Drosophila melanogaster: one gene and its partner. The protein of the gene in region 2 purifies or fractionates together with the protein of the main gene of each other region. This does not show direct contact. Each region holds a gene or a part of one and is shown on either strand. Other genes may lie near its edges.

Evidence for each region. The genes of interacting proteins can lie anywhere in the genome.
Region 1: the proteins of Aprt (region 2) and Gmd purify together in Drosophila melanogaster (affinity purification with mass spectrometry, with the first as the bait; one large-scale study listed by BioGRID). This does not show direct contact.

Annotation. Positions count from the first base shown.
Region 1 is NT_033779.5:4,972,838-4,979,709, reverse strand, and holds Gmd (GDP-mannose 4,6-dehydratase), read left to right. Parts: upstream 1-2,686; 5' UTR 2,687-2,780; coding exon 2,781-2,951; intron 2,952-3,054; coding exon 3,055-3,490; intron 3,491-3,550; coding exon 3,551-4,131; 3' UTR 4,132-4,410; downstream 4,411-6,872. Other genes in the region: CG8892 (uncharacterized protein), read left to right, coding at 1-26; CG8891 (uncharacterized protein), read left to right, coding at 442-565, 625-934, 1,003-1,144; CG3792 (uncharacterized protein), read right to left, coding at 1,292-1,962, 2,025-2,112; mRpL28 (mitochondrial ribosomal protein L28), read right to left, coding at 4,494-4,557, 4,610-5,433, 5,553-5,573; CG14043 (uncharacterized protein), read right to left, coding at 6,096-6,872. UniProt on the Drosophila melanogaster protein: Catalyzes the conversion of GDP-D-mannose to GDP-4-dehydro-6-deoxy-D-mannose (also known as GDP-4-keto-6-deoxy-D-mannose or GDP-4-dehydro-alpha-D-rhamnose), an essential step in the synthesis of GDP-fucose from GDP-mannose.
Region 2 is NT_037436.4:1,881,919-1,888,597, forward strand, and holds Aprt (adenine phosphoribosyltransferase), read right to left. Parts: upstream 3,102-6,679; 5' UTR 2,868-3,101; coding exon 2,773-2,867; intron 2,643-2,772; coding exon 2,405-2,642; intron 2,331-2,404; coding exon 2,115-2,330; 3' UTR 1,974-2,114; downstream 1-1,973.

The sequences.
Region 1 (6,872 bases), on a different chromosome or scaffold from region 2:
ATCTCACAAACGCGGACGATCAGTAGAAGTTTTCATGTGCATCTTATATTTATTTGCAAATTTTGTCATCCCAAGAAAACCATTATCGTCCCAAAAAAAAAAAAAAACTTTCCATTTGAATTACATTTTTGTCCTAAAAATAAGTTATGTTGAATAAATCAACTAGAAATGCTATTGTCAAGGCTTTTAGACACCACATGCGTTTTCTTCTCTGTGTTACAATTTAATTCACCAACTTATTTAAGTTACCTTAATTATATATGTATGTATTTTTAATTCCAGCTTTTTGAATATTTTTGAGTAATAACCACCCTGTCTTTTATTTCGCGCCCAAGCTAAGCAGAAAACAGCTGATTTGGCCGCATGCTTTAGTCTTGCAAATGGCGTTGAATACTGCGGCCAATTGTTTAAATTGAGGGCGACAATTTAATCTGTACCGTCATGTCGAAACCAATTACCTTTGTCACCGGCAACGCCAAGAAGCTGGAAGAGTTGGTTGCCATCCTGGGACCCAGTTTCCCGCGCACCATTGTGTCAAAGAAGATTGATCTTCCGGAATTGCAAGGTGAATAACAGCCATCATCTGAATGATGTAGTACTAAAACTACGTATGTTTAATGTCAGGCGACATCGACGAGATTGCCATCAAGAAGTGCAAGGAGGCAGCGCGTCAGGTGAATGGACCCGTGCTGGTGGAGGACACTAGTCTGTGCTTCAATGCGCTGGAGGGCTTGCCGGGTCCGTACATCAAATGGTTCCTGGAGAAGCTGCAGCCGGAGGGGTTACACCGTCTGCTCCATGGTTGGGAGAACAAAAGCGCTCAGGCTATTTGCACCTTTGGCTACTGCGACGGTGTGGATGCCGAGCCTCTAATCTTTAAGGGCATCACCGAGGGCGTTATCGTCGAACCTCGCGGCCCCCGGGACTTTGGATGGTGAGTCACTTGCGTAAGAAGTCTGATAAAATGGCTCTTGCTTATTAAATTCTCTATCATTGCCGCAGGGATCCGGTTTTCCAGCCCAGTGGCTACGATAAGACCTACGCCGAACTGCCCAAGTCCGAGAAGAACACCATTTCCCATCGCTACCGCGCTTTAGCTCTACTGCGGCAGCACTTCGAGAAACAGGACAAGTTAATAAACTAGGACTCAATTTAATTTAATTATTCAATTCAATTATTTAAACATCGCATATTTGTTCTACATTGTCGAGAAGTTGTTGCAACCTATGTTTCGAGTTCAAATCTCTCTATGTATATCTGTTTCTACTTTTGTTACTTCTATCCGCACTGCTTAGTCATCCTTCTTGGTCTTCGGCTTCTTGGCCTTTGAATCCTTCACCTTGACGCCAGCGGGTTTGTTCCAGTAGTAGATCAGCTGGCCCAGAATAACCGAATTGGCAAAGGTAGAGGCAATGAAAGTGAGGATGATCATAAAGTCACCAGTCTCCTGGATGGAGGTGAAGATGCGGGCCACCGATCCTGCAAACATCATGATCACAGTGGCGGCTGACAACTGACCAGTGGATCCAGCCTGGTAGTTGGTATACGCCTGAGACAGCTTGCCCACCAGCAGGATGGGAATGTTGCAGCTCTGGATGGTGAACAGCACCGACATGGGCGTTAGCCCCGAATTGAGAACATACATCAGCACGACATATCCCACTAGAAAGAGTCCCGACTGCGCCTTGCGCCCGTTGAAGAACAAGACCAAGACGGCGATTGTGACGGTCTGGATGGCCAGGAAGGTACTGTCGCCCCAGGCACTAAACGGATAGCCATGCATAAAGTTGTACGACAGGTGGAAGGAGATGGCCAGCAAGTCCAACACTACGCCCACAATGTTGATGCCCTCGCCAGACTTGCTGTTAAGGATCTTCAGCACTTGTGGTACTTTGACCAGCACGGAACCTGCGATAATTGCCAATCCCAAGCCCTTGCTCAGCAAAGCCTTGAAGCACGGAACTACGAGAAATGTTAATTGATACTTAATAGGCACATACCTTTTTGAATTAGCAGCCACTCACCATCTAAAAAGTTGTGATAGAGGAAGTAGTTATCATAGCACTTCTCGCTCATAAGGAACAGAGCACCCTGCCTGATAAGATCCGTCATTTTTGTGCTGCGAACAATTGACTTCTGTTTATCTCGGAGGTCGTGGTCGTACTTAATTAGTAAGCGGCGCTGGTTTCACTATGCACCGGTGTTATCAAGCTGGCCGGCCGGTCGCTCCGAGAATGAAATTGAAAGCCGCCGTTTACGCACACGTAATGCGGGTTCCGCCGAAGAAGATATTGATGCCCGGTGGCGAATCGGCTTGGGAGTGGAGGAGGAATGATAAGATAGGTGGTTGTGCCAACGTTATGTTATTTTCGTCCGGCTTTCGCTGAAAGGTATGCGCTAAAAATCGCTACGTGGGTTTTCCTGCTACTCAACACTGCCACAAAGTGGAACAAAATCGAAAAAAAGTGCAACATTGGCAGTAAAGTAAATAAAGTGTTATTCAACCAGATTTGGTTTTAATTTTAAATTTGCGCTGAATTCTTATTTAAAATGTTATTCCATACATAATTTGTTTTTTGTGATAAAATATTTACTTTTTGCTTATTGAAAATAATTTAGGCTGTCTTAAATAGATTGCCCCACTGTCCCGTACAAGTGCTTCGATTGCGATGTATCGATAACCAATCGATTATTTATTCACCTCTACCTGAGTGCTGTAGACAAAAGTTTGTTTATTATCCGGGCTGCGTCGGCGTGAAAATTAAAACTAGCGTCAGTAAATGCTAAATACCCGGCTAATTGCTATGTCGACTTCCGATGGGGCCCCGGAAACCAAGAAGCAACGTCCTGAAAGCAGCAGCAACGGCAGCAAGGACCAAAACGGAACGGAAGCCGGCGCCGAAGGCGACTCCCGTGATAAAGTGGCGCTGATAACAGGCATAACGGGCCAGGTGTGTAATTGATGAATTAGTCACGGCTGTTTCAGGGGCATCTCCTTCATTCCGTGCTTACGTGTTCAAAGTGCTCGATTCTTACTTGTTCCCTATCGCCCAGGATGGCTCCTATTTGGCAGAGTTTCTGCTCAAGAAGGACTACGAGGTGCACGGCATTATTCGGCGGGCCAGCACCTTCAACACCACCCGCATTGAGCATCTATATGCCGATCCAAAGGCGCACAAAGGTGGGCGTATGAAGCTCCACTATGGCGACATGACGGACAGCAGCAGCCTGGTGAAGATCATCAATATGGTGAAGCCCACGGAGATTTACAATTTGGCAGCACAATCCCATGTCAAGGTCTCCTTCGATCTCAGTGAGTACACGGCCGAGGTGGACGCCGTGGGCACGTTGCGCATTCTGGACGCCATCCGCACTTGTGGCATGGAAAAGAACGTGAGGTTTTACCAAGCCTCCACTTCGGAGCTATATGGTAAAGTGGTGGAGACGCCACAGAACGAACAGACGCCCTTCTATCCCAGGTCGCCATATGGTAAGGCAGCAGCTTCGATAATGTATGCTAAAAGTAATACTTAATCCCACCTAACTTTAGCCTGCGCTAAGATGTACGGCTTTTGGATCGTCATCAACTACCGGGAAGCCTACAACATGTACGCCTGTAATGGAATCCTCTTCAACCATGAAAGTCCACGACGTGGCGAGAACTTTGTGACTAGAAAAATCACCCGTAGCGTGGCCAAGATTTATCACAAGCAAATGGAGTATTTTGAACTGGGCAATCTCGACTCAAAGCGCGACTGGGGACATGCCAGCGACTACGTGGAGGCCATGTGGATGATGCTGCAGCGGGAGTCTCCTTCCGACTACGTCATAGCTACAGGCGAAACGCACAGTGTGCGCGAATTCGTGGAAGCCGCGTTCAAGCATATTGATCGAGAGATAACGTGGAAGGGCAAGGGTGTGGACGAGGTGGGAGTGGAGAACGGCACGGGTATTGTGCGCGTCCGCATAAATCCAAAGTATTTTCGGCCGACGGAGGTCGATCTGCTGCAAGGCGACGCGTCCAAAGCCAATCGAGAGCTAAACTGGACGCCTAAAGTTACCTTCGTGGAATTGGTTAGCGACATGATGAAGGCTGACATCGAATTAATGAGGAAAAATCCAATCGCTTAAGGCCTACCTGGCTTCCAGCTCGGACTGGGATCATTTACGGCACAAAGCTCTCTGCCCGCTTGCGGAGCTATACACTAACCATAGTCTAAGCGTAAAGTGATCAGCGTAGTTGATTTGTCAATGTATTTCTGTATTCTCGTGGGGATTTGCAATCATTCCTTTTTCTACTTTGCCGCGTACGTTCATGTTCAGTGTGTGATTCTACTTGTTTTTATACAGTACCAGATGTAACGAATATTTGAAATAAAGACGTTCGAGTAACAACGTTTTAATACCTTCAAATTGTAACGAAATGTTTCCGAAGTTATGTTTATTCGTTCGAGGCTAAACACATAAATCAAAAACAAACGCGGACAGCTTTTCTAGGTTTCTTTCTTGCCGAAAGGATTGATTTTAGACAGCCAACTGGAAGAGGGGGAGGATTCCCTGGAATAAATCATTGGTTAGGAAATTCATTACAGAAGTATTTGTGACTTACAGCTTTGTAAGCGCTTCGATATCCGAATCCTTGTGTTCGACCGACGATTCTGCTGCTAATGCATCCGGCTTCTCCAGCTTTCCCGCTTCGCTGATCCCCGCCTGGCGCAGCTGCTCGATAAGCTTTCCGCGGAACTCCAACTTATGCGGCACCACCTTTTCCGCTTCGCGCAGCTGCTTTTGCAGCTTGCGTATGGCCTCCAAATAGGTATGGCCGTACCAATCGATTTCCTCGGGCGTATATGGTTCCAGATAGCGGCGGTATTCCTTAAGCACTTCCTGTTGGCGTTCGGGCTCGTCGGCGAGGGCTGGAACACCGTTCTGCAGGGCCTGAAGCACCTCTCGCTTGAGTTTCAGAGCCAAAGCGGAGCGAAGATCGCAGGCACGATTCTTGAGGAGGTAGTGATCAAAGCCATGACATTCATGGATCTGCTCCAGCGTGCGTTCCGTCACCACCACGGACATGTAGCAGTCCAGCACATGACTATGGACCACCGAACGCCTAAGATTTGGTACCCAAAAGTGCGGCACGCGACGCTTTGTTTGCTCGCGTTTCTGAAAGCCCTTGATCACGGCCTCGCCACCCCAGATGCCACGGTGCGATTCCGGCGTATCGATCAATGGCAGCGGGATGTTCTGCACCGGCTTGATGGCGTGCGTCACCTCATCTCGTTCCCACTGCTGCTCCTTGGGGATATAATGGACCGCAGCCGGGGTCGTCAGCTTCCACTCGCGCCAGAACTTCCTGTACGCCTCGGGCAGCTGGGCTCCCAGACCCTTGTCAAAGCGACCCGGACGCTTCCATCCGTTTAATAGCTTTACGCCCTGCAGAAGGTTTAAACGCTTTGTTATTCCATGGGGTTTACGAAAGTTAACGCAGCTATTGCGTCACAGAAACGCGGCGCACTACCAGTTTCCTCTTTATTTTTGAGGCAATCACATACCTGTGGCGTGGCGTGTGCCATTTTTTAAGGAACGAACTAGCAGTTTACTGTTATTATTCACTATTAAAACTATAGTGGCAGTTTAAACTTGGCTATTAAACTATATTTTCCCTGATTTTGGCTAGGCCAACGGCGCTCTTCCTCTTCCTGTTTGGAAAAAACAGCTGTTCGTATGTGAATGGCTGGCAGCCAGGGTTGCCAGGTTTGAAAAGTATTTCGGAGACAGAGCTTCGTTCAATTTAGTTTTGTGAAATTTAGAAATGCTCGGCAAAAAATTGAGTTTCGAAGTAGTTCAACTTATTTATTATAATCAATATATGAAACAGTGCGCCAAGCCATACTCCGGCATAAGTACCATTCACGAGTAGCAAGAAATAAATTTATGCTGTCGGCAATTAAAATCGAAAAGCGGCTTACTTTCGCTATCAGAATGTAACATGTAAGTTACTAATGTATTAACAATTAAATATCCTTGAAAGAAACGCGATTTATTTTGACTACGTATAAAGCTTTTAGCAAATGCAATTAATTTTTTGGAAATTCTCACGCGGTTAGCCCAGCCTTGTTCAACCTGGCCTTAATCGTGTTTATCTTGAGCGGCAACAGCTGGAGCATTTCACGCACAACACCAATCTCGCCCTGCAGCGTCTCGGCCGCCTCCTTGTGCAGCTGGCAACCAGCATCGAATCTCTGGTAGTAGGTGTGGCAACTAGTTAGGTGCTCCAGCTGCTGGAGCGGATGGCCACTGATCAGCTTGTAGTAGATGCGACCGATGTGGAAGTGGGCGTAGAGCATGTGGCGTTGCTCCTCCACGTCCATGTTGGGTCGCCATTCCTCGCTGGGCGGTTTGACCAGATAGGATTTGACATAGCTCTCAAAGTGCTTGATGGCCTTCATACAGCTCTGATTGACCTTCTTGATGTCCTCCGGCGCTGGCGTGCTAGTGGCCCGAATGATGTCGAGACGGACATCCATCACGGCAGCATGAGCTGTGCCGGCTCCATACCAGCATTCTCGGCATATCTTCATGTAAAAGATGGGGTCAAGCAGATCCAAAAGATCTTCCAGATACTTGGCGCGACGCTTTTGCATCTTGGCCTGGTTTTCTGGATTCTCCTCGAAGAAGGCAATGTGCTCATACGCTTCGGCGTAATCCTGCATTATCTTTGAATACTCAGTAGCTTCGTTCTCGGCCTTGTAATAGTCCTTGGCTATGTCGAGCCACTCGTTCACAAAATGAAACACCAACTTGGCATCGTCGAAGGTCAGGCAGTATTCACAACTAATACGATTTTCACACGCGGTGAGGTCAAGTCCAGG
Region 2 (6,679 bases):
TGGGAAAAACACCCCTACATAAATTACTCAACTCTTCCTGTTGTCTTGTTAGCTCTGCTCAACTTCTGCTTGTCTTGTCTCCATTGTTAGCATCCACTTCTATTTTTGCCTTTTATGCAATGCTTAGTAGTGTGATTTTTAATGTTTACAGAGTCTTTATTTTTAATGTTCCACTTTTAGTTGAAGCAAGCTGTTGACTTTCCTTTTGTTATTTGTGTTTGTTATTGATTTTCTGCTCACTTCAAACTCCATTCCGCAGGCCTCGCAAAGCAAATAAAAAGAGCACCCCCATTTTTGTCTGTTTATGTTTATAAAGTCATGCCTGCTTATTTTCATTTTTGCCAGCTTTTACTTTGCTCTGGCTTTTTCGTTTATTTGATTTTCACGTCATTTCTGCTGACCTTAAACTTCTTATAAATAGTCACATTCCACGCATTCAAATATTTGTTTGCAGGGTTCTTATCACGCTATAACACTCATATTTTCAAACATGGGCTATGCTCTACATACATATGTTGCCATGCTATCTTTAAGCGAAACTTTAATTTTCACTAAATTAAAAAAAAACACTTCCAGCTTGCTTGTACATTCATGCTTTTTGCCTCTTTTCACCATTCATGTTCAGAGTTTAACTTTTGTATTCAGTTTCATGATTCAGTGGGGGTTTTATTGCACTTTGGGTCATCGAGTTAATTGTTTGGCACCGTGCACGTAATTGTTTCTTAATAATTATACACACACTCAAGCACACAGCAAACTTGGCAAACAAATGCTAAATGCGGGGCGTAAGAGGCGTATACGTAACGTGCTGTCAATTGCCGTGCTTTCTATGCCTGTGCCCTCTCTCTGCCCTTCCGCTCTCTCCACTCTTCCTTCCGCTCTCTTTTCACAACAATAAACAACAACAAACACGCGGAATGCGGGATGAGAGCCACTTTTTAGTTGTTGTTAGTCAATTGTTTGCCAATTGAGGAAAAGCGCGCAATCAATATCAATTCTCCAGGCGTGCTTGAATAATTTTCTTCTTATTTATTTTTTCTTTGTGAATAGGGGGGTGTGTGGTTAAACAACAAACACCAACCGTTAGCGTCATCACCGCACAACGCACATTTCACGAGTGAAATCAAAATCAAATGCGAAATGAGCACAGGCTGAAAGCAGCGACGTCGGCAGCGCAGTGGCTGCGCAGTTTCGCTTTTTGCCAGTCTCCATTCTCTCTTCCTTCTGGCTCTCCGCTCCTTGATTCCTTGATTTTTCCTTGCGCGCTCGGTTTGTTGCTATTTTTCCGTGTCTTTTCGGGGGGTTGTTGGGTTGGTGTGATTTGTTTATCGGCGGGCTGGGCGGGGGCGGAAGTTCCTCGAATTCTGGGTTAACGCAGCACAACAATTTTTGTTTATCGCTGAGCAAAGGCGCCGGTAACGGTAAACTTGAGAGCGACGAAATCAGTGAATGTGCCAAGAGAGAGAGAGAGGGAGGTGAGAGTGCAGTGAGTGCGCAGAGAGAGAAAATCGTTTTTTAGAAAATATATTTTTGATATAATTTTTAAGCAGTTAAAAATGTTTACCCATTTAAAGACATCCGTTAATCTTGGTTTGAATTTCATCCGTTTGCATTGTTGCTTCTTACTCACGTAACATATTTCAAAGCATACTTTTTGGATTGCTAATAATTAAAGAAAATTTAATGTACGTAAATAGCTGGAAAAGTTAAATTAATAATTATTTTCATGTGCACTTTTTTTAAGTAATATATTCTTTAATATATACATACCTAAAAACCCTATAACAACACCAAAATTTAAAATAGATTATTTAATTTATGTTCGGAAAACTATCCAAAAATAGTTTTCGATATCCAAGTTTCGTTATTTATTTTTGCTTTTGTCGCTGTTTTACATACTTTTTGCTTATACAAATGTTTCACCGTAATAGTCAACCCATGTATTATTATTCAAAATAAAATAAGCTATGTTTCATTGAGAGATTATACGATTCTGTTATCAGAGCCAAATATATTTCGTTATAAAAATATGCGTCTGTCTAGTTTTTATAAAAATTTGCTAGTTGAATAGGTAAATGCAAGTGTGGAAGGCTTCGTCACAATTCGATTAACTCTCAGTACTTAATGAGGGAATGCACTTTTCCATCCAGCCTTTTGCGACCCTCCAGTCCAACTAGTTCCATGACCACCAGGCTCTCCACGACAACGCCACCCACCTTGCCGATGAGTTCAGTGGCGGCCACCAGGGAACCACCTGTGGCTAGTAGATCGTCAACGACAACGACTTTTTGGCCGGGCTTGATGGCGGATTTTTGCAGCTCAAAGGTGTCCTGGGATAATTAAGTTGAAAGCATAAACATCTTTGTGCTTGGGAATAGTAAGTAATATATTTGGGAGTACTCACAATACCGTACTCCAGTTTGTATTCCACGGAAACCACTTCTCCCGCCAGCTTGCCCTTCTTGCGAATCGGAGCACATCCCAGGCCCAGCTCGGTGGCTATGAGGAGATTAAAGAGGAAGCCCCGCGAGTCCAGTCCCACGATGACCTCCGCCTCGGGAGCACTTTCCCGGATGTGATCAACAAGCAAATCGCGCAAGTACACACATGCCTTCGGATCGGTGAGGGCTCCGAATATGTCACTGATGTTTAATATGAAAACAAATGATTTTACACATTAACAACCTGATAAGGGTCCATTTGCTCGCCCATAATCATCATCGCAGCACTATTAGTGCTCCAATCTAATAACCTCGAGTGACGATAACTCACCGGAACAGAATGCCCTCCTTTGGGAAGTTCGGATACTCGCCAATCTTGCTCTTTACATAGTCTAGCTTGTCTTCCGCGCTGATTGAGGGGCTCATTTTTCTACTTTTATGTTTATTTATTTATTAACTTAGTTATAAGGGACTTTTTACATGGGTTTTCTGACTGTAGCGCTACGTGAGTGCGTGCCCAACTGCGGATTGCCGTACGGAACAGCTGATAAGTCAGCTGATATCGGGGAAGGTGGTTGCTATAGATGGGAGATATGCCACACGATGAACGGTCGTGTTGAGTTCGCTGCGCGGTCGATTTGAAATTGAGGTGGATAAGGTGCTGTGGGGACTTTTAAACGCTTTGAAAATATAAATTCGGAAAAAATTAATATAATGCCAAATCGTCGGTATTTCACTATTGAAAGCAATCAATATAATTTATGGGTTTTGATTTAGTTAACTACAACCACTCTTCTCTTTATGATATATATTGATGATATGATATTTCGTATATTTTCTGTGTATTTCCACATTTATCTTAGAGTTCTAATGTCGGCTAGCTATTTCAAAACCAAACATTTGGTTTGACATTTGCTTGCACAAAGAAAGCAGTTCAATGAATGCGGCAAACATCCTGCAGGTAGACAAGAGGCATTAAGAAACCTCCCCCGACTTTTCTCTGGGTCTTTCTCCAGATCTCGAGGCTATCAGATAGATAAGTGGAGAAATCTCAGTAATTCTTTGAGGGAAAGACATTGAATGCAGCACTGTTTATCGAGCTAAATGATTGAAAAGAAATGCCAACAATTTTCGCTGCACTTATCAAAGGCGGGCCAAGATCGGGAACTCTCACCTGGACTCCATCTCTCTCTCTCTCTCTTGTTCCCTCTTTCTCTCGGTGGCCCACTCACACAGGCACGCAAGTGAATGTGAGTATCTGTGTGTCTGTATCTTAGACTCCCAATGCCAAGAAAGATTCAGTTCGTTTCTCAGCGCCGAACGCGACGGTTCAGTTTTATTGGTTTCTTCGGAAGAAGCGGATCGAATTCGAATTCCTTGCCCGCGATTTTTAATAATTAATGCAAACTCGCGAACAATAGTAGTAAATTAAAATAACAACAATAGTCCGGAGGAACAGCTAAAACCGAAACCTGTTCTCGACCAACGTAAGCAGCGAAATAACGCATGAAAAAGCAAGAGTTTGCAAATCCTCAGTTTGAATTCGATCTTAACGGCAGAAGTAAATGTCAGACGACAAAACTGCGCCCCGTTTTTGCCATTTTAAATGTCGGAAAACGACTCTAAAGGCAGCCATAAACAACAACCATACTGCAGTTACTCCAATAACAACTGAAACAACAAAGTTCAAACAACATAAAAACGTGAAAACCTACAAAAAATATATACATATGTATCTATGCAACATTAGACACAATATAGCGAAGTGCAGAAACACATTCACAATCGCATACTTGTACGGTTGCACTTGGAGAAATAATTGGGAAAATAGCTTGAGAAACTTGTCACAAAAGCATTGTAGTCTTAGGTTTAAAATTGGTTTAAAATAGTTGATACTTTTGGATAACCTTCAACTCGAAATGGTTTCTGAAATATTTTAGAAACTTAACGCAATTTCTTCTCAGTGTGCTAGTCACACACACATGCATAACTTGGCAATGTGAAGACGTGCGTACGAAAACTGCAACTGCAACAACAACTGCTGCAACTGCAACTGCAACAACAACTGCGCGCCCGAGTAACGTGAAAAACCAGAAAGAGGCACAGTTTTTTGTTTTTCTGCTGGGTTTTGTTTTTATATTTCTTTTTTGAGGCAAACGAGCATCTCTACTGAAACGAAACTTCTGCGGCTGCGCAGAGGCGGCCTTCGTGATGAAGGGCATGGAAATAGGGCGCTCGGAAAGCAGCAGGAAAAAGGGAAATTTATGGCCGAACTTTGGAAGATGGATTGTAATATTTCCAAAAGTTATGTTATGAACAGATGGTTCACATATTTCACACTGCAGAGTGTGAGTCAGTAGAGCTGATTCAGATTAGCTTACGATTTGAAATATCCCTGATATTAGATAGAACCTCTAGCCGCTCCTGACTTTTTCGTAGGCAAAAGCCGAGTGAAGAATCTCGTTGTGAGCTGCGATTATGCATAGACCCCCATTGTAGTTGTTTGGGCCCGTTGATCATGGTTGGCAGCTTGGTATGCGCGAATGTTTGCTAACATCCAAATCGTGATCTAATAAAAAACGTAGGGAAACAGAGACACATACCAGCGGCCCACGAGCGAGTGGATGAGTGAGCGGACCAGCTCTGGATGGGATCGGGTCGGATTGAAGACTCTTCAAAGGGGCTGTGTGGCATCCACCACCAGCAACTTTCGCAAAAAGTAAGCGCTGAAAAAAGCGGACTTCTCCCAAAATGGATGGCAGCTGGAACGGCTGTCAATACATTGAGTAACTGACCGCAAAAAAAGTAAAATTTTGCCGGTTCTCCGTGTCTTCAATCCCGTTCCGTTTTGCGGTTCTCCCTGCTGGGAGGAGAAAAGAAATCGTCTGTTTGGAACACAATATATGCAGAAACGATCATCACACCTGGACAAAAAAAAAAACAAACACATTGTATAAAGGGGGGAACCCGAACCCAAAGAAATGGGCAAAGGCGAAAAGTTGGAATAAAAACATGGAACAAGAGCCACTTTAAACGCCATTTCCGCATAATTCTGAAATGTAGGAACCAGTTTCGAATGGTGGTGGCTGAAATTTAGCAACTTTTTTTGAGAAACGACGAACGTGTTAATCAAGCCAGTGGCACCAAAGTCTTTAGGTTCCACTTTGTTGGCCAAAACAAACCATAACAAGCTGGTTACATGTACATGTAGCTCCGCTGATCGCCAAGCGGAACAATGAGAGATTTTCCCCCGCTTAGCCGGTGAAAAGCTGAAAATGTGAAAATTAATTACCAGTGTGTGGCCAATTGGTAGCTGTTTTGGCTGTTTGATGGCTCCTCGGCGTCTCTCGGGGCGAGGGAATCCCCATTTCAAAGTCAGAAGCCGCTCCAGACACGGTTTACTCACCACGCGGTCGTCTGGCTGTGCCTAATGTGAAATTTATGTTTATAAAGTAGAAAGTCATCCGCGGCTCAGGGAGTTCGAGTTGTAGATGGATATGAAATGACCAGTGCGGATCGAAGAAAGCCCCACTCTCAGCTTGGAGTGCAGTTTTGCCAACTTCAACTGCCACTGCAACTGCATTCTTCTTGGCTCCTCAATTTGGCCGGCGGCCACGTTTAAGGTATAACCATTACCCAACTGACCTTATTTCATCGCTCATACGAGTGAGTATGTGCAGTCCCAGCTGAAAAGTCGCCGTAATTGCTGATATTGCAACTCACCCATAGCCGTTGATTTTCAGCTTGTTTTCGAGTATTTATTGCAGTGCACAGGAAACTAAAGTGCAATGTGATACAGGTCTTGTTTCTTTACTGACAAGCAGATTTTTAAAGCAGCTGAAATGTCAGTTTAAAAACTGATTGATGGTTTCTACATACGATCAAAGATACAAGAAACATATGCAATATATGACAATTAGTAGTACCAGCAGATCTTTGATCTCGTTTTCTTAGTGTATTTGACTTTTGGAATATTTCTCACATATTTTTTGCCGTGCAAGTGAAACTTGTCCGAAATCGAAATGTTGGAACCGCCGGCCGGTGAGCGGATGTAACCCAAGTCGAGCCAGAGTACGCTGATTTTGCTGCGTCATACGAACTGGAGAGCCTTCCATCCGTTCAGTGGTCACTTTCTTTTTGGTCACGTTCGAATTCGAAAAACCATCGATGCAGTTGAGTTTAGCACGCCCAACAAACATTGAAAACCAACTGCAAACAACGAATTACCCCATAGAAAG